4 linked regions of the Neodiprion lecontei genome follow. Each later gene encodes a partner of the first gene's protein in a complex. Links are inferred from orthologs where the notes say so. Each region holds a gene or a part of one and is shown on either strand. Other genes may lie near its edges.

Region 1 (7,867 bases):
ACACACACGTTGCTGGGTCCTGAAATATCAATGAGTACTGTGTTTAGGTGATTTTTTCATAGAATATCAGAGTGAATGTCACAACTGAAAGCTGTACAATTAATTCTGTACCTCTAACGGATATGTGACATATGGCACATTGAAATGCCAACTGCCTGCAATTGTTGCACTGTGGACCACGACTAGATTTATTGCAGATATAACATTCAATTTGAAACTCTACAGCCTTGTGGGAATCGATCGGTGGTACACTGACGTGTTTTAGTACCTGTGCCCTGGCATCAAGGAGCCTCCAACTATGCAGGACTTCAGCATATGCTTTTTTATAGCTATCGTAGAGGGTGGTGTTTTTTTCATCAAGAAACCTGAAAGAGAGAAGTACGTGCTAGCTTTCGAATGACGATGTTTCACCCTTGTCCCAAAGTGGGAGAAATTTCGATTGTTTTCTTTCTCTACAAGACATTACTTCTTTAATAATTGAAAATTGTCACCTAATGTTTCGGACGGGATCACCCAATGTTTCTTGAACGAATTTAAGGTCGTCGAGAGATTCAGACCATGAGTTTGACCTATGTTGTTTGAGATTTTGGAAATTCCATCCCTCAAGCGTCGTATCTGCAGGATGTATTGTGTGATACGGTGAACCGCCAGGCTAAAATTGTCATGTTTGAGCGTTAATTGAATGACGAGTAGAAGATTTATTATACACACAGGTATAATACTTATTCATTTATTACAGCGAAGGGTAAGAGAAAATTAACGAGTGCCACAGCTGCGAACACGCAACAAATTATTGGCAAGCTTCAAGCTCTATGAAATATTATCAATTGGTGTATTAATTATTCTTTGGTGCATGCAAACTCATGTATCATATTTTAACGAAATGCATGTATGCATGTCTGTACCTTTATTTTGGCGGAATTTCAAAAACATCATAGGCCCTTTTTTTTCAGCAACCTATAGTACTCTACAAGCCTATCGAATATGCGCTACCAAACTCTGACGTACATATGCATCAAAATACCGAATTATCATAGTGTAACAACCCGTCCCATTGCCGTTACACTGCTTCAAAGTAACTATGCTTGCTAGGTGGGGGGTGCCTTAGTGGCTATTACCATGTTATGTAGCGCCAATGTACATGCATACATACATTGAGGCTGGTAGCAGCGATGTAGCAGTCAATCATCAATGTTACATCAGTATACCTTGCAATATTAGGAATAAAACATTATTGCTATTACGTAATGCGTGCCACATGTTACGTAAATGTCATATCAGAGCTACAAACCTTTGAGTGGGGCATAACTTGTTACACATGAGTTACAAGTTATGTCACGGTAACGCTTCTTGTTACATCATGTTTCACCGTCGATATATAATTGTCATGAAATTTTTTTGGGATATTTGCCGAGAGAAATGGAAACTACATCTAGAATGTATCTACGTACCCAAATAAAAGCAGAAAACTTAGTTTAATCGAAGCTCTAAGTCGACGAATTCGGCAAGGCATAGATTCTTTGCATTAGCTTAATATTTGCTAAAACACACGCGCACGCACACACACAGGTGAAAACTTTAATCAGTCACAACATACTGTAAGCCCTGGTGTGATAACCGAAGCGGAAGATATGAATTTTTATTTCCGAGAACCAAAGAAGAGTAATTTGCAAACCAAAAGCTGTCGTTGATACAAATCTATAGATACGCTAAAGAATAATATTTATACTTTACCTTCTGCCACCATTTCCCAGTGGAAAGCCTCTACAACAGAGATAATAAAATGTCAGTTGGATAAGCAATGCATGCTCGGCAGACAAATTGTTATACACTACGCAAAAGCAAAGGGACAGAGGAATCAAGAAAGCACCGCAAACAGCAGCAAGGGGAGCAGCAATAGTAGCGGCATTGGCAATCTGGTAGGGCAGATCAAATCAAAATTAAAGAAAAGAAAACGACAGAGAATGCCTGTCTAAGTGAAAATACAAAATCTTCATTTATAGATTTTGATAGCCATTTTCTTTGTTAGCAATGCACAAAGCATGCATCATAAAAATAGCAATGACAATAATAATAATAAAAACAACCGTAATAATTATAATGGCGACGATGATAATTTACACAGTAGTTACCTGCCAATTGAATTTTTCATCACAAGTCGTTGTATAGTCTACTTGGCACTTAAAACAATATTGTGTCTTACTTACACTGACGTTTACAGACTTGCTCACTGCACGTCCCTGCCCAACATCTTGATTTTCAGAACGATAAGTAAATGTGCAGCTCAGCATGCCTGCCATTTGTATATCAGACTGGCTGGCGTAATGCTGTATACTGAAAAGCGAATAAAGTTGATCATCAAGGGTCTGCCTAATCTTGAATCCTGAACTCACAGAGAATGGATCAAGTTTTGACCAAATGGATGCAAGGGCCACGGAGTCTCGATATCGTTTGAGGAGAGGTTGGAGGGCATCGGCTGCGATATGACGAGTGCGGCTAGGCACCAAGCTTGAACAAGGTCCGGTCTTTCAAGCAAAGCTGCCACTCCGGCATTATACTGACACATTCCAGGAATGTCTGTAATATTGATGCTACAGTGGGGGTGTTGCTTTATTCTTATTGTTTCGTGATTCAAATACTCAATACAAATGATAAAAAACTCACATGTACTTTTCAGCGAGTTCTTTGTTAACAAAGAACAATGGGGAGGCGTCATAGATTGTAACCATCGGATGATTTTTATTAGGTGTTTTCGAGTGGAGCCTGGTCGATGGGTGCAAACTACGTCTGGACCCTCTCTATTTGCAGATGAGACGTCACGAGAGAAACAGTTCCAAGTTACTGGCAAAGTTTTTATGTAAGTATATACAAATGATGACAAGTTTACCCGTTCGTGAAAGTAGAATGAGCTTATAGATATGTTGTCAGCTGCATTCGGTTGTGAATAAGCCGGATATACGTGGGGAAAATGACTACTGCTACCGACTCCCGATCCTAACGCCGAGAGAGCTCGCGGCGTTACGCTTTCCGGCTTTATGGACGGCCTTCTGGCGTACGGCGTTCGGCCAAAACAAACTAGTATTCCTAGAAAAGATTGGTGTAGATTAAAATACGGGTTTAACCCCTTGTTTTTACCCTGGCTTGAGAACTCCTTACCTACGCAGCAAAATTTAGCACCTGAAGTCCGCGGAAAAGGAATGTAGGTATCCTGGTAGTTTGGAAATATGGCACCGGTCGTATTGAGAAAGTTAGCACTATGTGGCATCCTGTATCCCAGATGTTTACCCTCAGTCTCGTCGCTGACGCACATCTGTTTAGGCAGAATGAAATTGATCATCTTCAAATGATAAAAATCGAGAACTCGACAACCAAATCAAAAGGAAATACCTGTTCCAAAGTTGTGATCAGCTGTCTTAAACAGGGCTCTAAGCAGGATCGATTCTTCCTAACTCGTTGTTGAGCGGTCTGCTTCAGTACCTTCGAGAGCTTTGCCATCGCTGTATTGTCTATGGTTGTTCCAGGACAGAATTGAAAGGTCGGTGACGCATTGTATGGGTAATTACCAGGAAAGTTTACTTTCAATATAACATTGTAATTTTTATTTGACGCTGTGACCGTACAGCTTCGTTGCTCTGCATCCATAGCGTTCACCTGAGATGCGAAACACAGAATACATTACAAGTGAGTCTGGAAATAATCGAAACGATGCAAAAATCACGAGTAAATTTACCTCAATGTTTGGAATGTTCACATTGATCAATGAAAATTCTTGCTGTAACGTTTTTGGCTGAGTCGGCGATAAAACATCTTTGTCGCTTGTTGAGTAAGTGAGCGACTCTATGCCCATTTTACCTCCGTCAATTTTTGACATGACAAAATTCATTTCTCTGTCGGTCGGTGTATCTTGAAGCTCGAGCTGTTGCATAGAACGTAACGTCCCTGAGAATTTTATTAGCCAGTCATTGCAAATACAATAGCGATTCTCCTCATAATTTCGTACTTGAAGCTTGCGATACACTCACTCAGGTTATTGTCTTCTGTGTACGGAGTATAGACAGATGTTCCATCATCCAAATCGTGTCCGCATAGCTAAAACGTGCAAGGATTGATTTTATTTGTGTTATAAGTAATTTTTAGTAGCAACATCGTCGTTTCATGAGTCTTAGATTTTGTGAATTCTCAATACAGAGTTATGAACTGAATTATATGATGATTATAGTGATTACCTTTTGTAGAAATGGATCGATTTTGAATATTCTCAGGCATTGATCTTTGGACCAAGTTATCAATTCAAAGTCATTCGGTGCTGCGATAGGAAAATAAGTTATTGTTGCCCTTTGACATCATTTAATACGGCGCAATCAAATATTTTACTGCAAAAACCCCTCTTGGAATACCTTTTTTCTGATGCCTCCACTGAAACTCTAGCACAACGTCAGTGTGCCCTATAAACGTGTAAATTGGAGCTGTAAGATTCGAGGTGTTCCACAGTAGCAGACTATTTTCCCCTCGCCTGAGCTGTGGCACAACTATTGTAACCAGACCTTCCCCAAATGGCTACAAGCAGACGTAAATGAGATTTTGAAAATCTTTCACGACTTTCTTGCAATTATTTGATACAGTTAGCAATACAGATGATTAAATTTTACCGTGTATCTGGCTCTCCACACAGGTGCACTTGTCGTCAAAATGCTTTCTGCTCTTCGTGGATTACTGACATCAAATATTTTCACTGTACAGTCCTGACTAGAAGTCGCCAATTGATTTTGTTGAAAAGGACACCAGTCCAGGCCATGTATCTTGAAAGACAAGAGGCCACTTATCCCAAATGTACCAAGTCAGTAAATAATACGAAGATTGTTCAAACGATTGTGAAAATTCACAACATTCGGACGTTCGTGCTATACATTTTAAACCAAGCACCACACAAGTTACAGTTTCCCCTGTTCAATGTCCTCGGTTTATAAGCATTCACACAAAAATAATTGGGAAAGAAAACCAAACTAATACCTTAGTTAAATGAGCAGCTATGTACTGCATCGGACTATTCCCTTTCCTCTGGTCCCATATTTTGATGTCGCCATCATGCGCAGTGGCCACAATGTGTGGGGACAGACAGTTCCATCTGACCTGAGATGCTCCGGCTAAAATGAGATTTTTCATCAAACAACTATTATGTAACAATTGTTGAAACATAAAAACAAAATTGGGACTTTTACCAACAGCAGATAGCGACAAGCAGGGCCTACGCTGATCTCTAATGTCCCAAATGTGTATGAATGTGTCTATGCTGCACGAGGCGAGAATGTCAGGCTCAGTGGGATGCCAGTTCAAGTCACTAACAACACGCGTATGTGCTCTGAGGCTATGCGTCGTTGTGAGATCACGTCCATCTCCACCAACAAAATTGAGTATTTCGACTCTGTTGTTACTCTGTAGAAAGAAAACAATGAGCCTCTCCTTATTTATCGATGCTTTTTCTACTTACGGATATAGCGCAAAGGTGACAATTCTGAGAGTTGGGATTCCATTCGGCAGAGCCAACTTCGTACTTGCTCTGACGTTGGAATTTTCGCAGGGTGTCCGTGCCTTCGTCCAGGTGCTTGACGGCAAAGCATCTTCGCCTGCAGAGCCAATGAATCGGTATATTTGAGAGGCTTTATAGGAATCTGGTCGAAAGCATTGAAACTCACCCGGCCAGAAGAACGAAGCTCCCGGTTGTGTCAACCGCCATAGTATTGGCCTGGTGCATGTGGAGAAAGCTAATTATTTGAGGTTTGGGGCGAAGCTCGATTACAAAGATCTTGAGCAACCGTGGTTAGTTTGAGTTAGTTTTTTAGTGGGGGCGACGCGAGTCGCTTGGCTTACCTGCAAATCCCGGTGCTCGGCGACCACATAATCGCTACCCCAACGTTTTGACATTTTCAGAAATGACAGGGGACCTCGACATCGTTTGATGAAATTTGAGGTTATAATGAATCGTTGTGTACGCATGTAAATATTTAAACTTGTGACAGAGTGCAGCACTATCTGATCGGCATGACAGAATCCCTGTGTAATAGGATGAATTAGGCTCGATTGGTATTGGATTGGTACAGTTTGCGGGTGTCATTTTACGTTACAATCAAAGCAAAAAACAAATATAATTACATTTCGTTCTTTTTTAAATAATCATAACGTACACTTCCCAATTTAATTATTTTGGTTTTGAACATTTTAGAATTACATATTTCAGACTTCAAGAACTCGCGGTCATCATTCAACATCCGTAGGGTTGGCAACATGCATCGCTATTCGATGAATTCAAAATCGAAAAAACAGTTGCCGGCAGAATTTCAAATGGCGACTATCCGTGACGGCTTCAACGCAGCGCTGTTTCGAATAAATTTCGTGAGCTTTTGGAACGAACAGCGGGCTTAGCATTGATCAGAATATACCTACATAAACCTTTATTCAAACGTGCGAATGAATATCAGGTTAACTGTCAGATGTGGCTGTGCAGGTATCGCGGATTCCATTTCCCCGAGTTCGGAAAGATTTGCTAATGGTAAATGTTCCGTGTACGTAATAATACGTCTATAATGGTGTGTAAATATCAGCCAGCAGTGACAAACATTGAGTTCATAATTCCCCGAGTGTCTGAGATGGTTAACCAAAAGGTTGGAATAATAAAGAGTGAGTCAAGTTTGTACGCGCGATATAAGTAATCCTTGCTGTGTTTGCGGTTTCGAGTAAGTTTGAAATTCTAACTGACAACGTGCATTTTTAGTGATTGAGAGTGGACACACCGGAGCAAATCACGGACGTCGTGGGAGCCAACTGCTATCAACAGTAACGTGAAATCTTATTTCCACTAAAATCATGCGCGTTAACAATCGCGGCAGCATCTTGCAAACCTTCCGATACTTAATTCTTTCCAATATCATTGTGATTTTTTCATCTCGACCCTGTTCCACGAGACAAAAAAAGTCAAGAAAGATCGATTCTTATCCAATATCAAAATCATAAAGCACAATGGAGCTACCAGCTATGAATAAAACTCAATGGTGAAAGTCTCAAGTATCTATACTAGACCCAGTTTCATGGAGGAGGAGGATAAAAGCGATGCACCAATATATTGTTAAATGCTGAAGTATATTTATTTATTTATTTTCAATTTAAGAATACATTTAAGAAGTTTGTAGTTCCACGGTGTATATATCGATAATTTTTATCTTTGATTATATAAAAATGAACGTTTGTTCATTTTTTTTTAGCTAGACCGGATTTATCACTCGACGAGGACTGAGTGCTACACTGAGAGATTGGTTTCTTAGGCCGTGTACTAGGGTCTGTGCACCTCTTAGCTTTTCCATGTAAACTTGTATCTGTAATTCAAATATTCTTAAACTACTAAGAAAGCAACGAATTGTACTGAAACAGGCGAATTAGATGAGAACGAAACGTGAAAACAAACCCTCAAAGTTTGCCTGTATATTGACAATGGATCCCAAACTCTCTGTCGATGGACACAATGTTGAAAACACATTTTCGCTCTTCCTCGTTGCCATTTTAGTCGATATGGAACTGGTGCTGCTGTGGCATCGACTAGATGTTGGTGATGGCTTGAGATAGTTGGTACAGGGCAGTACCATATTTTTGTCCGACAGTAATTTCTTTATATAGGGCTCAGCCTCGGCATGACGAACCGTGAGCTCAGTGATGTGTTGCAGGGCAAGACCGTTCTGCTCTTCAAGTTCACGAATTGCAATATCCTTCTGTGAAATTTTCAAAATATTGCATCGTCAGGTTTATGCGGCAGCTGTCTATACCTTTGAAACAAATCATCAGTCAATTCTTACCTCCTGCATCAGGATCAAACTGTCAT
Region 2 (6,263 bases), on another chromosome or scaffold:
ATCTTCAGACTAATTTTTCCAATTAATCCGATTTTTATTTTTATTGGAAGCCCAAGTTGATACTAAAATTAAAAATTTGCGAGTCTTTAACGAAGTAATAGCTAAACAGATATGTTTGTTAAAATATTCACAAGAATATTTTATTGAAGTATAAATATCTGTCTCTACGTACAAGGGCTTCTGTTTTCAGCTTCAAATCTGTAAGGTATGCATCACCAGAAAATATGCCTACATTGAAATTTTCGGTATCTAGATCTTCGACATAATTTCCTAGAAAACGGTTCAGAAGTGCTGCAACTGCTCCTTCAAACATGTTGAAAATTCGTTTCAATATATGGTCCCGTTAATCTAAAATAGAAATCGTTTTCTACTTTGAATCTGTAAACTCTAGGGCTCTAGAATACCTTAGCAAAATGCATGTACGATATCAAACTTGAATGCTTTACCATTTCAACACTTTTACTATCCACCATAATGTGTTATAGGTTTATGAACACTTTGCAAATCATTACCAACATTCATGTTTATGTTCAGAATGTTTAAAAATAAAGTCACTCTTTAAGTAACCTACTTTTATTACAGCAAAGGTCATTTCTTAAAGATGGTATTTTGAAACTGAATTTAATGTTGATAATGCATGAACAATTGGGACAATTATTCTGAAATCTATTATACAAAGTTTTCTTCTCTCACATTCCAATGCCGGTCATAGATTTCTAACAATCGTCTTGCACATTTCCAAGAATTGAGTCAACTTATTAAATTGGTAAGCAGGCATAGAAGTAATGAATATTTTTAGATTTTTCATAATGGTTCTTGCAAATAACGATGTTGAACGAACTGTAAGGCGTAATAGAGTTATTAATATATTGAGCAGTGTCGTGTAACATATAAAATGAAAAAGTCTGATACGAAATATTGATCTACTTTTATTTTAGTTATAATGTCGTGCAAAAATTCATGTGACTTCGTTTTTCCATCTTGTACCATACTTTTAGTTGTTTTTTGAAACACAATTAGGAACCGAATAATTTCAACAACTTATAAATATTAAAAACAAAAAACGAACACTTTTAATTGGTATAATAACAATAAAAATATTAGATCTATTGATTTGAAAATGAATGATAACATTACTTTATTGTAATTTACTGTAATCATCGGTATAGGGTGGATTTTTGCGAAGGTATAAAATTTTGCAATTTTCGTTCTGCGTCGTCAGTTACTAAGAATACTTAATCATGAATATCTTAGAAGAATTGAAAGTTTATGACACCAGCTTCTAAACATAGTATGCTATACTAATTGTTGGATAATATGTCTAAAACATGATACAAGATAGATAGTGATGAGTTGACATAGAAGTCTTGAATTACAGAATGATGGTTTCTCATTTACAATTATTATTCAAATGTTGAAGAAGAGGATTGATAAAGTATTGAATGTAAGATGAGTAATCGCAGTGTCAGCATATCAGATTCGCATATGTATTATTCAAACTTACGAATTATCTGAATTCTTCTCCAGTTAATATTCGCAAAGTGTTAGCAGAAACAGAAAGCATCTGATACCTTGCTTCAGTAAGCTGTCAAATGCTGTCAAAGCAGACCGTTTCATTGGTTGATACGATTTGCGAATCGAATTGCGGATATAATTATTTGATTTCATTTTCTAAGTTCTGAACGACCGAACGCAGGCCACTGTGCATTTATCCAATTGCCCGATGCAGTAATTTTCACCTACCTGCGTGAATTAAACTAGAAATAAAGTAATTCTTCCCAGCCCCAGGCCATAACCTAACAAATTTCACACCTCGTCCAGGATGGTTTGAAAGATGTAAAGCGCAGCGGACCTCGGGAATTGTTACTTGAAGTATTGATTTTATTTTCATCCTTGTCTGCGATATAGAAAGTGCGTCGTTAAACAGCGCGTGGAAGGCATGACAGCTCGTTGTATTAGAGTTAAAGTTAGGTTAGGGTTAGGGTTATGTTAGGTAAGTATTATTGGGTTGGTAACAGTCTCTCGTCAATCCGAGGTTTGACATAATGACAGAAAATTTGGATCGTTAGTTTTTATTTGTCGAATTCAAATTCAAGAAACCTTGCAAGTGGTCTATACGCGTTTTTGCCATGTAACCCGATTCCTGATTTAAGTTATGATTTTAAGATAATACCAAGAGTCTGTAACCAATCTCTCATAACTTCTCTGGCATCTCGGAGCATTGGTTAGTTGGATTGAGCTTTTTGAGTTCACTCATAAGCTCATCGAGAAACAAGGAAATGGAGATTAATCCATTAAGCGTTATTCTAGTGAAGAGTGACAGTAAGGGCGATCGAATGTTATTCAGATATCCTCACGCCGCTAATCTTGAGAGAGATTCCAAACAGTTTACAAAGAGGAAGAATCCTTATGCGTTAACAATCAGTGAGGATTTATTACAAGTATATTCCTCATATTTATTCTTTAATATTACTGCACTGGAAAATCCCAAACTATCGCAAACAAGTCTTATACCAATATCATCTTTGATAAGACCACGACTCTGTTGCTTTATTTTCATGTAAATTATAATCAATTTTCATACAGTATGTTTCATACGATATGTCTACAATGTAAGAGGAGTTATACAAAACTATAAAGATTTTATTTGGTCATTGTCCCTTATTTACCTCCTATTAATTCAAGTATTACTATATTTTTATTTCTATCTTTTTTTTCTCACTTTTCTTACTTTTTGATGAAAATTCTTCCATACTGTACTCTTGTTTAAACACCAATGCCCCTTCTTTACTGTATTAAGCAGTGCTTACTCAAATGTATGTTCGCATGCTCTTTAATTGCCTTGATTTTTACCTTAACTTTACCATTTTTATTTGTTGAGTGAGCAAGTGGAATTCTTATTTCGTTTCACATTACTTTGATCGCATTACATATGATGTTGCAAAAATATTTAACAATTGATCAATTTTTTATGAAGCTGTAAATTTGGTAGGAGTAATTAACAAAATGACCGTAATCAATGTGGAGTATAATTATTATCTGGCGCATGTTTATTTTTCATTATTTAAATAATTTTCAGTCGACACCATTTCCAACATCCAATATAAGCAATGGCAATCTTACTGGCTTATCTGACGAAGTTTTGTCCACCCTCTTTGCTGTTAAACCCGAGCTTTGTGAATTAAAGTTCGAACTAAAAGTCAACAATGTACGCTTTGTTGGACACCCTACATTGCTTCCTTCTAGGGGACTAAAAGATGTCAATTCATCCATGCTCTTCAACATAGTATTCGCTTTGCAGGCTCAAGCGAATCACTCTGTTGTTAAGTGTTATTACGATCTCAGTAAAAGGTAACTTTGAGGATAAATTATTTGTATCTTCAAACATCTACTGAAACCTACAATTACCTTAGTGACTTATCAATTCGATTTTGAACATGATTCATCACCAGTAGTTAATAGCTTATATATTTCTTTTATTTTAAAAAACCATCATATTTTTTGGATGTTCCATTATACAGACTGGGAATAGCTTTGAGACATGAGGAAAAGAGATGCGGATTTCTTACTGACGAAATAAAAGTGATGGTTTCCACTCATGACGAAGTAGCTGCTCGGTAATTTTCTACTTCCACTTTTTATAAATTGTCATACTCTTAGATGTAATTTGTACACGGATGTTATAATTGAATATACGATCCAGATCAGAAGAGGAAAGTGAATCTGATGAATCCCCTTATGAACTTATATTGCAAAGAAGTTCTCTTGCTCGAGATTTGAAGTCCGTTTTCAATAGCCTGAGTACATCAGGGGTAATAAATATCATGGTTAATAAATGGATACAAGTTAGCTTTTGTCTACCTCAAAAAGTTCATCAATCTCACAAAAAAGGATTCATTATGAACCCAGAAATAATTGACAGGTAATTCATTATGATCATCATCATTTAATTCTCTGCAAATAATTTGTAAATAATTTTCAGCAATGAATGATTGTGAATTATTATCATATTACGATAAATTATGATAACTAAATTCTGTGACATCGCAGTACTACTAATAATCAAATCATTCGCGTTTTAAATGAAATTATTTACTTCAGATGCCTCGAAAGTTTACGACCGTATCATGGCTTACTACTTTTGATAGAGCCTTTAGATTTGTTAGATTCGCTTCCTGCTGACTCGGCTCCAGCGCTAGTACGTCTTATACAAATGTACAGCCCACTCAAAAGTCTTCAAACATTAGCTGCAGATTCAGATCTCAGCTTGGCACAGGTGAGCCATAATGATAATTTTGATTGAAAATACTTCTGCCTTTTTTCAAAAATATTTCTCAATAATACTGTATCAATTACTGAAACAATTGAATGAATATTGAGGATTAGGTGCATATTCAATGGGATTTCTTTTTCACTACATTCAGGGTTTGATAATGTTTACATAGTAGTTTTTTTAATTACTAACAAGTATCACCTTTGCCAAGGTATTCCAACTGACTGGACATTTAGTGTATTGGGCAAAGGCTACTATTATCTATCCCTTGTGTGAAAGCAACGTATATGTCGTAGCTCCAGATGCTGTCCTCACAGCTCAATTATTGGATGCATTTTCAGAACAATTTCCAGGATTGTGTCTACTACAGGTATTGTCACAGAATACATTACAAACATGTAATGGTAATGCAAAAAAAAAGTATTTACGGTAGAGGATTCCGAAGTTTCTAAAAATCTTATTGAGATATCCTTTCGCATCTCCATTATTAAGACGAGTTAGATTTAACGAAAAGAAACAGATTCTGCATGTAAGCGATAAAACATTGACCTTTGCTTCTTAAACTAGCTTTTGGACACGTATAATTTTCTGTTATTTACTCTGTCATACATAACAAACTTGAATATTTCTGTTTGTTCATAGGTGATCAGTGATTTTTCTTTACCGACATCCATTAGTCAAAAATTGAACCCTCTGAGCCAACCACAACAACAGACTCAATTAGTGAAAATAATAATTTGGTTATTGAGAAATCATTTGTTACTTCAGCTGCATACTTACATTCAATATATGCCAACGCTGCATGGTTGCCAAAAAGTGGTAATATATGAACTTTGAAAAAGTGATAAACACCTGAATCACTTGCGAAATAAAGAGATGAGTATTCGATTCTATCTTGCAGACAAGCATAACAGAAGATGATTCTGGGCCAAACGAGTCTATGAAAAATCAACACAGCTGGGAAGGCACTGACGCATCTGCCGGTACACCAGGAGAAAGCGATACCGGGGCTTCTCCTGCCTTACGTGGGACAAGTGGAATTTTTGAGTATCAATCAGATGGTTTCTCAATTCCTTCGGAGGATATGATTTTACTAGATAAATTATGTAGACTTGGGTATCTAAAAGGCGGTCATCATCTCGAGGAAATTATGTATCTTGAAAATATTCGAAGATCGCAATTGTTACAAATATTGGACAAATTCAGAGACGTTCTCATAACTTGTGAAACAGAGGATCCTGCAATTGCACTTTTCTATTCTCATTTCGATTGCTAATCAAATTTTGGTCATTGTTAATCGAGATGAAAAATGCGGAGGTTTATTATACCTTGCAGAGACTGGCTGGTAATGTTGTATCTTCCGTAAAAAAATTCATATTTATTTTGACACATTTATGCCGTATGCGTTTTACCTTCAGTTTGAACAGGTACAATGCTAAGAGTGTTTTAATATAAGTGCTACTTTCAAATTATACGTGTTAATTACTATTTAAAATACCTCACGATTTAACGCACGACATAAAGTTACTTTATTATTAACTTTGAAGTTCAGTTCCATCTCATATCATATCTCATTTTACGTCAAACGCTTTAGACTTCAAGTAACGTAAACGGAAGATAACGATATCAAAATAACGGTAGGAATTTAGTTGTAACAATGCACCACTGACCGAATAATTGAGCACGAATGTTCAATTCCAACGTGCCAAATGCTTTCACTGCTAAATCGAAGTAGCAGTTCTTACAGTCACATTTTTTTTTTTTTTTTTTCTATCTTCACTGAGAATCAATCCAAATGGCGAAATTTTATAAAGATAATTACAATATTAATATGGACAGTGCGCAGGTTTTGAGGAATGTTTCGCGCCAGAATTCATAATCTTGTGCCGCTGATCTGCAGTAGTGACGTCATTTACCCAAAGATATGCCGGGTCTCATTGCCTGCCACGCGCACAACTCCCGCAGGTAAGATAACCTGTCGGTGTTTCGA
Region 3 (7,265 bases), on another chromosome or scaffold:
TCTTATTTCAGATAAATCCTAGCGGAACAAGTATGGAGTTAAAAACCAGTGACAATATGATTATCACAGTTTCTCTTTCGGAACCCATCGACAGCCACCTAGAAGGTTACATCGAAGTTCATGGTACTGTACAGTCTAAGTCATCCATCTCCTGTAGCAACTTCGTTCGCTTCCCAAATGAGATGACGGAAAAATTTGGTAAATTATCACAGATACATCATTTCTTAGAATCTACTCCTGATGTATGTCTATGCTATTGTATATGATTTTGCTTGACGTTATTTTATCTTTTGGCATTGAAAAAGTACAATGGAAATTCTCTAGTTGTTCATAACTTGAAAAAAAGAATATAAGTTGAAATTTTTTCAGACTCGGAACAGTACAATGACCTCATCTTACTCTCCAATACATTGGGTAGCAACAAATGGAAAATGTCTGAAACGAATACCATTTTATGAAATTTTAACTTTCTCACGCCCTACTAATATAAATTTTCTTTTTCGCTGTCAAGTATATCACCTTCAACACATTCGAATATTCTGACTTTTTTCAGTATACTTCGCTGAAGTTGAAGCTCAATCTTTAAGGCTTAGAAATGTTCTAAATGATAATTAAGTGAAAGAAATAAGTATAATTGGTGAACGAAATACTATTAAATAATCGTTTATTACAATTTAAAATTATGGTAGAAAGATTATACAACCCCAACTCCGATCTTGCAAGATGCATCTAGTGAAAAGCATCTGCACGTACAAGATGTTACAGGGCATTCCGAATGCTCTCTGAAATATAATTTGTCTGTTTAGAGCAATGCAAAAAAAACTTTCTCTCTAAAATTCCACTCCATGCATTTTGTTCGATGTAATAAATGATTGGAACCACGTGTGCCACTCACCGATTTTGATGAATAAACTGATTTTTTCAATGTACAACAATTCAACTAAATTTACATTGTAAAAATTCACCTAAACCAGTGCGTGATGTGGTTGGCGTGTCCACCATGTCTGCACGTTTGACACCAAGTAAACCAACTACTAAATTCCGTTAGTTTACTATCCTCCTCCCCTCTATTTGGTGTGGTCCCTCCTGTTTGTAAACCACTGGCTGTACCCATGTGCATGAGACAGATCGCACAGCGGGGTAGAGGTTTGCGACAGCTAGGACACGAAGACATCTACAAAGAAATCACAAGCCACGTTGGTTTTTGCAAGAAATTTACGGGGATTACACAAACACCGAAATTGTGAACTAAACTTTTACCTTCAATTTGTTGGACGTACTCCCAAGCCTGGCAAATGGTCCTCTAGCTCTGCTTAACCCCTGCATATAAGCCGAAATACTTTTGCCACAGAAATTGCAAGATATGTATACTTGTTGTGGAGGTTTCTCATTCGTTGAAGTTCGCATCGCTATATCAAAATGTGCTCTTTGATTCCACATTTTCCAAGCATCCAAAAGCGTTCTATAGCTGCAGAACAGTTGATTCTGGTTAGGCGATTCATTATTCTCTAACAAAAAGTCGTATTTTCTTCGTGTTACTAACTACAAGATAGACTACCTTGCAATCCAAACTTGAACTTGATTGTCCTGAAGCAATTTCGGTGACAGAGCTCGAATGGCGATTAGGCTGCAACTTTGGACATCACCAGTGATTTCTAAGTACCTATTTAGTAACTGTATCCCGTCTGAACTAGCCCCTGAAGTGGCACATACAGTTCAAAGCATTTTAAATTTAGTTTTTTGAAATTAATTTTCAACACTCGTTTAATTACTAACCAGTAATCAGAATCCCGGCTAAGTTACCGTCATCAGTTAATTTTTGAGTCAATTTTTTGAAATATTCATGTAATTTACTATCAGATAGAAACATGAGCGCAAATGCCACTCTATCCTCAACAGCCATTCCATTCTCATTCTGAAAACATAGATTAGTGACGATTATTACAGACGAATGAAACTTTTCCACATCTATCCATTTCATTTTTGCAGTGAGAAATATTCAGTAATTCATCATAAAAGATTCTACGGTCATCTAACAAATAAATCGTAAAAATTACTTTACTCACCAAAACATTTTCATACGAATCATTGTCAGCAGTGAGGAATGCAAATGTTGCTCTGAGATATGGGTCAGTTAATTGAGATCTAGATTTTAAGCAAAGCTCCCGCCACATACTATTTCTATCTTCAGAGAAGCCTGACAAAGCCATAGCAACGATATTTAAATTTGTTGCTAGTGACATTTTGTCCGCCCCTCTATTCAATATTTCTATGGCTTGCCTCAGTCCAAGATTGAAAACAGAGATGGCTGCAGCTCTAGGATAAGCTCCTTCCCTCTCTAGTCTTTCCAAAAATGCATTATTATAAGGCGCGTTCGTTTCTTTATCAAATCTCCAACCACACAATTGAAGTGCTTTATCTCGGTCAGGTGACCTGTGATAAACATTTATTTTTGGCAAATCAAAGATACTTATTGTTAGCATAATAGAGGATATTGTTCGATGAATCATTTCGTTGATAAAGAATATTTTTGTTTTTGTACTTCATAAGCTTAAAGTGTATCGAGCAAACACATAATTCATATTTTCGGAATTATGACACCTGGTTTTTCTTTACCTGTATATTTTAGCACTGTGATTTGACCCAATGTCAGCCCACAGTCGAAGCACTAATTCAGACTTAATGAAACCGTTAGTAGAAGTCGGCTGTCCATCAAGTTTCAGAACAGTTCTATGGAGAGTTACAAAGTAATTATCAGAGCATCTAACAGTACGGCTATAAGCCAAAGAAAATATCAGTTTACCTGACACCTGGGTGCTTATTGTCTGGACTACATATTGTTCCATCTTCCACTAAAGAACGACTCAAATACAGCCATTGCCATAAATTTTTCAGGGTCTCATTTTCAGCTAGCTCTCCATTTTGCGATAGTTCGGCCTTAGTGAAAAATATAATTAATTATTACAATTTTAAATATATCAGAATTAATTCTCTTAAATCGTTCTATATGAAGATTTGTAGTTTTAACAAGTCCATGTTACAATCATCCTATACTAACCAGAAGGCCGTAGTCTCGCATGGCTCGACTTTTCGTTTGCAGTGAAATATCGTTCAAGGATTTGTATATGTTGTCGGTGCTATAAATGTATTTGAATGATTTTGAAGCATGGTTCCATGCTAGATATGACTTAGTTGACCAGTTGATAGTAATTCTTTCAAAAACAGTGTAGTCCGTCAAACCTGAAATATGCAAATAACTTAGGAATAGTAATGATGTATAATTATAAGCTGCATTAGTTCTAAATCGAGCATTACACCTAGCTTGAAAGAAAACGAAACTGTACAATAGACTTATATTTGCGACCATGTATGGAAAATTCGTCCCCTCGTACTCCATGGTAATACGTAAGAGATACGAAAACAAAAAAAAATCAACTGCACACACCTTGTTGCGATATAGCCAACAATCTATTCGCGTGAGTCGGATGCCATGAAAAACTTGTAGGACTAGACCATGGTGGGGCGACAGTTCTTTCTAAAGCGCCTGGCTCTGTTTCCTCGCCGCCACCAAGCCCACAATGCTGTACATCGTGAAGATGCAAAGATCCTGTGTGGTCAATGATTAATGAAAATACATTTCACCATTAATGAACAAGTTGAACCACTTTGTTTCATTTAGCAATTTAAGTATGATAAATCTCACTGTACCAGAGTCTTTCTGCAGAGATCCCAGCAGGTTATGCCTTGAAGGACACCATAGTACTTTAGTCACTTGTCTGCTCTGCGGTAGGGTTAATATCGGTTTTTCAAAGTAACGAGTGTCCCATATAAGAATTTGATTTTCAATATGGGAAACTAAGTGATAATTGTTATGAGGATCTACTGACAAACTGTACACTGCTTTTGTTGGCGTTGAGTTCACTACCTTCACACAATCTAAACAGATGATTAATACAAAAAGATGTTTGAATCAACACAAATAAAAGGCAGAAGTTCCAATTATCCTTCATTGGCAATAAATTAATTAATAACCACCAGTACCATAATGTCTTACCTCGAAAATCAATAATCTTTAAATGTTTGTTATTGATTCCAACAACCAAACATCTTGGTTCGTTAAGGAACCAAGCGAGGGAATGTGCTGTTTCAGAGACTCCAGCCTCTGCTATAGGTCTGACAGATTCTGCCTGCATGTTACTGTGGTGATGCGATCCAGTTGGACTTTTCAGGACATCCCATAATAAAACGGAAGAATCCGTTCTGTGCTTATCCAAGCCACAAATTATTAAATTTGGGTCTACCGGATTCCATGCAACCGTATTGCATTGCCTTGCATGCCTCGGAGCTAGCAAAGTGATCACGGATATGATTAGAAGAAAAAAGCAAGCTAAAATATTATACCGTATAACTTAAAAAGAGAAGAAAATGAATACAACTTCCAGAACAATTATTGGTGAATTTCATTTACCAAGTTCCTTGCCAGTAAGTCCAAGAGAGTCGAATGCCGTTGGGCCAAAAGTAGTTAGTACAACTTTACCATTCGCTTGCCCAACTGCCAATAGAATGTCAGGCTCAGGTTGGGTGTAAATATCAATGCATTTAACATAGTGATGGTTTGTGTTCGTTGCCAATAAATGGGCGACTGTAGAGTCAGAGATCTTAATACCTGCAAATAATTCTTTTGTTAATAAAATATAAACACCCAACAAAGCGATATTCAAGAAATAACAACAATACGTGTTTTGTAATAGGCTTTGGGTCTCTACTCACAAGAAGGCCTGACACTATCTTTGATTTGGGTAACTTCGTATAAACATATTTCGGTGCCCCAAGTAATGAATTTATTTGGGTGTATCGATGACCACTGAACTTCTAACTTAACGCTACTCATTGTCAAATAATATTGTAGGTTAATTTAAAATCCGTGTACTACCAGGTCGTGTTGTTTACATTAGTAAAATATGTTTCTCCGATAATTAATGATGTAAAAACTAAACCTCTATCACCGGCGGAACATTTGTTTTCCGACAGTAAATTGTGGCGGCTATTGCACGTCCAAAATTGGTTCCATTATACGTTTGAACAATCCGATAAATAGCGTAAAAAAACAATCACAGTGAATCTACCGATTTCGGGACAACATAGCCTCAACGCAATTTGTTGCGCCGTATTTGTCCATTAGCGCATCCAAATAGCGATCTGCGCGTGCGCGAAACTATTTCGCAAGCGAAAAGTCGTTTTCGAAAAGTGATAATTCTGCTAGTGAAGAGCGGTGAAGAAAATTTGAATCAAATATTTTACTTCACCACAACATCTGAAAGTAGTTAACTGTGAGCATATTCTGTGGGATAATCAATAGCTTTGAATTTTGGGAAAGCACCGAAACTGAGTCGGTGACAGATCGAGTGACAGAAGCAGACGACTTTCAACACTCAGCAGCGCCATGTGTTGGCGCTTTAACGGCTCGATAAAGAACCAGCGCGTGACGGATCACGGATGCGAGCGTTCGATACGTCGGGCTTTGCGATTGACCGATTTTTGAAGGTAATTAATCATTTTTCTGTTGTTATTTTTGCAATCATACCCCCAAGAGATTCGCCGATTAAACCTGCATCCGTAAAATAACGGTACACTTTCATAAATTGGAAACATTGCCATATATGAAACACGAATATTGACTTCCTCTGGTAACTAGCACCCGACAGCGCGGCAACGCCTTTTGGTTATTCATCCTACGAATACGCCCTTAATCTTGATGTTTTATTGTGAGATCGAAGTAATTTCCAAGTCTGTACTAATTGGTGTTAAATGCGTAATAATGGTTTCAACAAATTTGATGCAGTAACTATTTTCAAACAACAATGTCACATTGTTACAACTAAACCTCATTACAATGTTTCATTTTTCCGTCAAGATTAAAGTCGATTAGATACGCGTATCAACAATGTATTATTTGTAAACTTTCTAATAGATGACCATTATTTAACAGTATGTCGTAATATCGTAGTTGTGGTTTGATTGTTTTTACATATATTCATAGTTAAATATTACACAATTGACAGCGATAAAATTGGTAAAATTTCCATTTACATCTCAGAGGAGAAGACAGGAAAATTTTCAGTGTCCTAATTAATCAACATTAAGAAAATTCCCATATTTTACATAAATGTAAAGTCTTTATTTATTAGTAGAAAAATTATCAAACACAACAACAATAATGAGTGTTGAGTGCATGCGAGAAACGTAAACATTTGTTCACCTTACTCCCATGGTTCCCATGCTGACAATAGGATTTCCATATCTTTCAGATCTCTATTATAGTAATGGAGGCGTAGTTCATGTAGCTTATAAAGTATTGAGTTTTTTCCTCCAGATAATGAGAAATTCTGTTCTACATGCGCGTAATCAATCAACAATTACATATTATTAAATGTGCAAATTTCAGTCATTTACATTCTGATATTAATATTTCAGATATAAATTCCACATACAAAAATGTCTAAAAAACCAGGCGCCACACAGGCCCTTCATAAGGTCATAATGGTAGGTAGCGGAGGTGTTGGAAAGTCCGCCCTGACTCTACAGTTCATGTACGACGAGGTATGTGGGTGATTTCTTCAGCCCCTTATCAGGCTATCATTCAAACTTTAATTAGATTTGAAGAAGTACAAGGTTCAGTTGATTTCAGTCATTTGGAACGAATGTATAACACTGTGTAATGTAAATAGGTTACTATTCAACTTAACAATCGAAAGAAACTGTTTTGTATCGATTTTTATAATGCCAAACATGAATACGTTGGCGGGAACTTTATCTGAAATGACATTTTTGAGAGTGTTGGTCAGCATAGAGTAACAAACACTTCGTTGCAGTCCTTTTCTGAATAACATGATAGTAGTACCAATCATGATAAGAAAACTTTCCATCCAGCAATGAACCCCAGCTTTCTGACGGCTGGGAAATAGTTTGGAATATTTTAAAGTAACAATCAAGTAGCTGTGGATATTGTTTACTTGATCTTTTAGGGTATAAATTTTGTTTTCACTTTCACTTTCCCATAATTTTGTGTTAAGAAAGGCCAAAAAAGGGTTGATAAATTTCTTTTAGACCTTATGATCCAATTTCCTCAAAATCATTGTGTGATTGTCAGTTGCTAATAACGAAGTTGAAACATAATCTATTTTTGTTATAGACTGCAAGTAATCAATAGTTTCACAGCACAAATGATCCTATCTTGTTGCACAATATAATTGTGGAACTCTTTA
Region 4 (3,685 bases), on another chromosome or scaffold:
TTTTTTCACAATTTTCTACAATCTCCAATCGGCAGCAGACACATATTGCCCGTTTCTTTATCTTTTTTTCCCCCCAATGTGCGACACGTCTTTGTTCGTATTGCTTTTGCTGCTCGCACCTGTGTACAAATGTTTTTTTTATTTGTGGTTGTTTTTACATTTTGAAAAACGATCGATTTCTGTCAAATTTGTAAATATCGATTGTCTGTTTACTGCAAGTTATAAATTAAATATTGGGTGTCCGCCAAAATTGCAGAGAAATCGCAAACTAATGTTCGATTTGCATCTGCGTTTTACGAGTGTAAATCAAGGATTTATTAAATTATTGGAAGAATCGATTGAAAAAAAAATTTAATAAACTTTTTAAAAAAGTTCACCGCCTATAGTACAGTTTGTAGTTATAAAGTCAAGTTTCGTTTTTTTTTTTTTTTTTTTTTCCCCTTTGCACAAAAAGCGAAAGAAAAAGAGAGGAAGAGGAAAATACGTTTTATACACAATAATAATGATAATCTGATTTTTCTCTTCAGTTCTATTATGCTAATTTCACAATGCTCGTTGTTCTGGATTGTTCAAATTTCCCTGACCCTTATTGAGCTCCGAAATGCATGCCCATTGGCCTTCGGAATTTTCACGCCACAGAGATACTTTGTTGTCACCTCCGCTCACTGCCAGAATCCCACCAGTCAGAGACCAACTGACGTTCCATATAACGTCCTCAAACACGTTCAGGACAGTCGACGTCCAACTTGTGCAATCTGTCGACGTCCACACCACCACCCTGCGATCCTGAGAACAGGAAGCCAGTGCCGCTCTCGGTGGTCCAACTGCTGGCGCCCAGGCCACATCTCTGACCTAATTTAATGTTGCAAGGAAAAGAAAATGGCTGGTGAATCCACTAATTTTATCTACAGCATCTTTGTTTTGCTAATGCTGAATAATTTCTGATATGAATTCAACTCTTTTCTATTGATCTTACATGATTTCAAATCGATCACGATTGCGAATAGGTGATTAGCCTCTGGACACAAATGTTTCACTGGGAATAGAAAAAGTAATGAAAATTCTTTTCTTGCCCTAGACAAAGGGAAGAGACCAGATGTCCAAATTTGGTGATACTTGAAACGAGTTATTACTTACCCAGTCGCTGTGAGCCTCGAGTTTATTTTCCTCGATCCATCTTTCGTTATCCTCCCTCCATATTTTGACCAAATTATCGCATCCTCCAGTCGCAAGTCGCTTAACAGGTCCACTGCGAGGGTGAGGCGCGGTAGCGTCGTATCCAGGTTCAATGGCTGGGCACCAACTGACCGCATTGCACCCGATGGTGTGTGCGTTTGGAATTTTCTGGGCATCCCAGGTGTCACCATTGTTAGAAAGTATGGAGATCGAGCCGTCAGAGCTGCCGCATGCTAATATTAGTCCGAACTCGTGCGGCGCCCATGCAACGGAGTTCACAGACGAGTCGTGGGACGCATGTTCATATATCTTGGTCCACTCACCAAGCTCCTTCCAAATTATGACTTTCCTAACGCGAGATAAGTACAGTTTAGATTTTGCTTATTTTTGCATAAGGTCGGAAAACCGTGGAGCAAAAGTATTGAGATCACCAAATTTACCTGTCGTAACTGCAAGATGCCAAGATGTTGCCGAACTTCGGATGAGCCCAGGCAACTTGCCAAACAGGACCGACGTGGCCTTTCAAATCTGCAGCGAGGGTTTGCGTGCCGTTCTTCAGATCGAATATTTTCACCGAATTGTCACTTGAGCAGGTAGCTAACCTCAATCCGTAATAGTCCATTTCGGCATCGTGTATCATGTCCTCGTGGCCCGTGTCCACCGTGTTTAGAACGGAGACCATTTTCAATTATCTCTTCGTTTACCCGCAACGAGTTATTATTTATATTGTTTCTTTCACTATTTTTTGTTGTCGCAAATTGTCCGTTGCAGCGATTGAAGAATAACCACACAACTGATCCAACTGACATACGTGGAATCTGATGAAGTGGACACGCGCTAAAAGGCACCAACATCAGGCAACGAAAAGCATCAGAGTCACCACGAAGTGCTAGGGATTTTTCGTAAAAAGACAACACGTGCCCCACGTGCCTTTCCATTTGTTATGTTATTTTATCTATCGGCGGGATGGTTCAAAATTTGAAGTAGAATACATATTATATACTTTTAATTATGTCGATTGTGATAAATATTATTTTGTTCGTTATTTTTGAACTAGTTATACACTGACTGGAGATTGACAAATACATGATATGGCGTACTGTAGAAGGAAAAAAATAGGTATATTACGACTAAGTAAAACTAGAGTTAGCCCAGGCGGTCCAATCAATACCAGAGAAGAATGAAGACTCTTTGATTTCGGGAATAGATAAACGTTCCTCTGGCTTGTATCGCAATACCTGAACAAGGAGAGTAAGACAATCATATACAAAGGAATTCATTGACTTGAATGCACTGCTTCATTTATTTTGAGAACTAATTAAGTATTTAAACTCTTCAAACTCACATTAGAGATCAATGATTTCACGTTCGCTGATAGTTCTTCAGGAATGTTGAGAATAGAATGCGAGTGATATGGTCCAGGATGTTTAGTTTGGAATTTCTGAAAACAGAAAACATAAACTCAACGAATATCAATTTAAACTATGATAATTGGACATACAATTCCAGTGAAGAGCTCGTAGAGCAGGACTCCGTAGCTCCAAACATCGGCAGCAGTGGAGGGTGGAATTGTTGGTGAGAAGATACAAAGTTCAGGGGCGGAGTAGGGCTTCTTTAGCTGCAAGAGTTCGAAGCTTCGTTTTGGGACAATGTAAGTCATCGCGACATGGCCTCCGCTGCCTAATAATATATTATCTGGTTTTAAATTTCCGACTATGACACCCTGCTGGTGCAGAGATTCCAGTGCCAGGAGTATTTCAGCTGCCCAATATCGGATGGTTCCTTCGGGAAGCTTCCAGAGTTCGTCATCCATTTCAATACCGCTGTCCTCGTTAACGATCGATTGCAATTGGCCAGAATTCATAGTTTCCTCAATCACTCTATGAGAGCCATTGAGTTTTGACGATTCTTTCACTAACTCGTCCTCAACTTTGAAGTTCTTAACAAAATTAGACTTAGAATTTGCCAAAGCTTCGTCTGATCTTTCATTTTTTGCTTTCAGATCTATATTTCCAGATCCAATACCGTGAACACCATCTATGCTGTTACCTTGACTGAGTTTATCGATTTCTGTTACATTTAGGGCCTGAAACTCCCCACCGTGAGCTAAATTTCGAGAATGATCCGGCTTATCTTCACTGTACAGTAAAGTGCCAGATTCATTCAACCTGCTGGCTATTGAATTGCTTTTCTTCAGAGTGGCGTCAACCAATCGCAGAAGTTCTTGGGCTTTAGCGAGTAAGTCCGTGGTTTGAAATGTTTTAACAGGCGCAGCATTGGCTCCAAATTTTGCCTCTAATCTTCTGAGCGATTCATCAGGATCGATCGTCTCCTCTTCTTGCGGATCGAGATTTTCTCTGCTGCCACAAGCTCTGTCTTTCGAAACCTCAGCAAGTCCGTCAATTTTCGGTAACAGTCTTTCCTTAACTCCTAGCTTCTTCTTTTCCAGACTCGACTGAATAATAGCGTCGCAACTCACTGACCTTGTATGCCCTTTCTCTCTCCAATT

Evidence for each region.
Region 2: GATOR complex protein WDR59 (region 1) and GATOR complex protein NPRL3 share a complex: the UniProt entries of both Drosophila melanogaster proteins name them as parts of the GATOR complex. The link is inferred for Neodiprion lecontei from reciprocal best matches to the Drosophila melanogaster genes Wdr59 and Nprl3.
Region 3: GATOR complex protein WDR59 (region 1) and GATOR complex protein MIOS share a complex: the UniProt entries of both Drosophila melanogaster proteins name them as parts of the GATOR complex. The link is inferred for Neodiprion lecontei from reciprocal best matches to the Drosophila melanogaster genes Wdr59 and mio.
Region 4: GATOR complex protein WDR59 (region 1) and protein SEC13 homolog share a complex: the UniProt entries of both Drosophila melanogaster proteins name them as parts of the GATOR complex. The link is inferred for Neodiprion lecontei from reciprocal best matches to the Drosophila melanogaster genes Wdr59 and Sec13.

What each region holds. Positions count from the first base shown.
Region 1 is NC_060264.1:23,548,042-23,555,908, reverse strand, and holds the start of GATOR complex protein WDR59, read right to left. Parts: upstream 6,020-7,867; 5' UTR 5,995-6,019; coding exon 5,869-5,994; intron 5,744-5,868; coding exon 5,694-5,743; intron 5,625-5,693; coding exon 5,489-5,624; intron 5,434-5,488; coding exon 5,220-5,433; intron 5,145-5,219; coding exon 5,011-5,144; intron 4,800-5,010; coding exon 4,650-4,799; intron 4,558-4,649; coding exon 4,398-4,557; intron 4,307-4,397; coding exon 4,227-4,306; intron 4,090-4,226; coding exon 4,023-4,089; intron 3,940-4,022; coding exon 3,731-3,939; intron 3,652-3,730; coding exon 3,388-3,651; intron 3,311-3,387; coding exon 3,157-3,310; intron 3,085-3,156; coding exon 2,888-3,084; intron 2,799-2,887; coding exon 2,665-2,798; intron 2,592-2,664; coding exon 2,394-2,591; intron 2,335-2,393; coding exon 2,208-2,334; intron 1,765-2,207; coding exon 1,735-1,764; intron 1,209-1,734; coding exon of another isoform or gene 1,200-1,208; exon of another isoform or gene 1,154-1,199; intron 653-1,153; coding exon 492-652; and 4 more. Other genes in the region: coiled-coil domain-containing protein 39, read right to left, coding at 7,243-7,367, 7,457-7,757, 7,842-7,867. UniProt on the Drosophila melanogaster protein: A component of the GATOR complex, which functions as a regulator of the amino acid-sensing branch of the mTORC1 signaling pathway.
Region 2 is NC_060263.1:27,315,850-27,322,112, reverse strand, and holds GATOR complex protein NPRL3, read left to right. Parts: upstream 1-2,000; 5' UTR 2,001-2,279; coding exon 2,280-2,441; intron 2,442-3,079; coding exon 3,080-3,351; intron 3,352-3,521; coding exon 3,522-3,617; intron 3,618-3,703; coding exon 3,704-3,922; intron 3,923-4,101; coding exon 4,102-4,276; intron 4,277-4,484; coding exon 4,485-4,643; intron 4,644-4,915; coding exon 4,916-5,092; intron 5,093-5,174; coding exon 5,175-5,549; 3' UTR 5,550-5,745; downstream 5,746-6,263. Other genes in the region: vacuolar protein sorting-associated protein 13C, read right to left, coding at 1-62, 173-313. UniProt on the Drosophila melanogaster protein: An essential component of the GATOR subcomplex GATOR1 which functions as an inhibitor of the amino acid-sensing branch of the TORC1 signaling pathway.
Region 3 is NC_060261.1:40,160,255-40,167,519, reverse strand, and holds GATOR complex protein MIOS, read right to left. Parts: upstream 5,262-7,265; 5' UTR 4,892-5,261; coding exon 4,771-4,891; intron 4,667-4,770; coding exon 4,469-4,666; intron 4,346-4,468; coding exon 4,055-4,345; intron 3,937-4,054; coding exon 3,709-3,936; intron 3,608-3,708; coding exon 3,446-3,607; intron 3,241-3,445; coding exon 3,059-3,240; intron 2,938-3,058; coding exon 2,804-2,937; intron 2,731-2,803; coding exon 2,617-2,730; intron 2,434-2,616; coding exon 2,067-2,433; intron 1,916-2,066; coding exon 1,777-1,915; intron 1,698-1,776; coding exon 1,559-1,697; intron 1,469-1,558; coding exon 1,261-1,468; intron 1,175-1,260; coding exon 966-1,174; intron 930-965; exon of another isoform or gene 783-929; coding exon 695-782; 3' UTR 511-694; downstream 1-510. Other genes in the region: replication protein A 14 kDa subunit, read left to right, coding at 12-198, 370-458; ras-related protein Ral-a, read left to right, coding at 6,496-6,600. UniProt on the Drosophila melanogaster protein: An essential component of the GATOR subcomplex GATOR2 which functions as an activator of the amino acid-sensing branch of the mTORC1 signaling pathway.
Region 4 is NC_060266.1:1,254,107-1,257,791, forward strand, and holds protein SEC13 homolog, read right to left. Parts: upstream 2,013-3,685; 5' UTR 1,859-2,012; coding exon 1,617-1,858; intron 1,526-1,616; coding exon 1,138-1,525; intron 853-1,137; coding exon 544-852; 3' UTR 501-543; downstream 1-500. Other genes in the region: ribosomal protein S6 kinase delta-1, read right to left, coding at 2,307-2,414, 2,522-2,617, 2,678-3,685. UniProt on the Drosophila melanogaster protein: Functions as a component of the nuclear pore complex (NPC) and the COPII coat. At the endoplasmic reticulum, SEC13 is involved in the biogenesis of COPII-coated vesicles.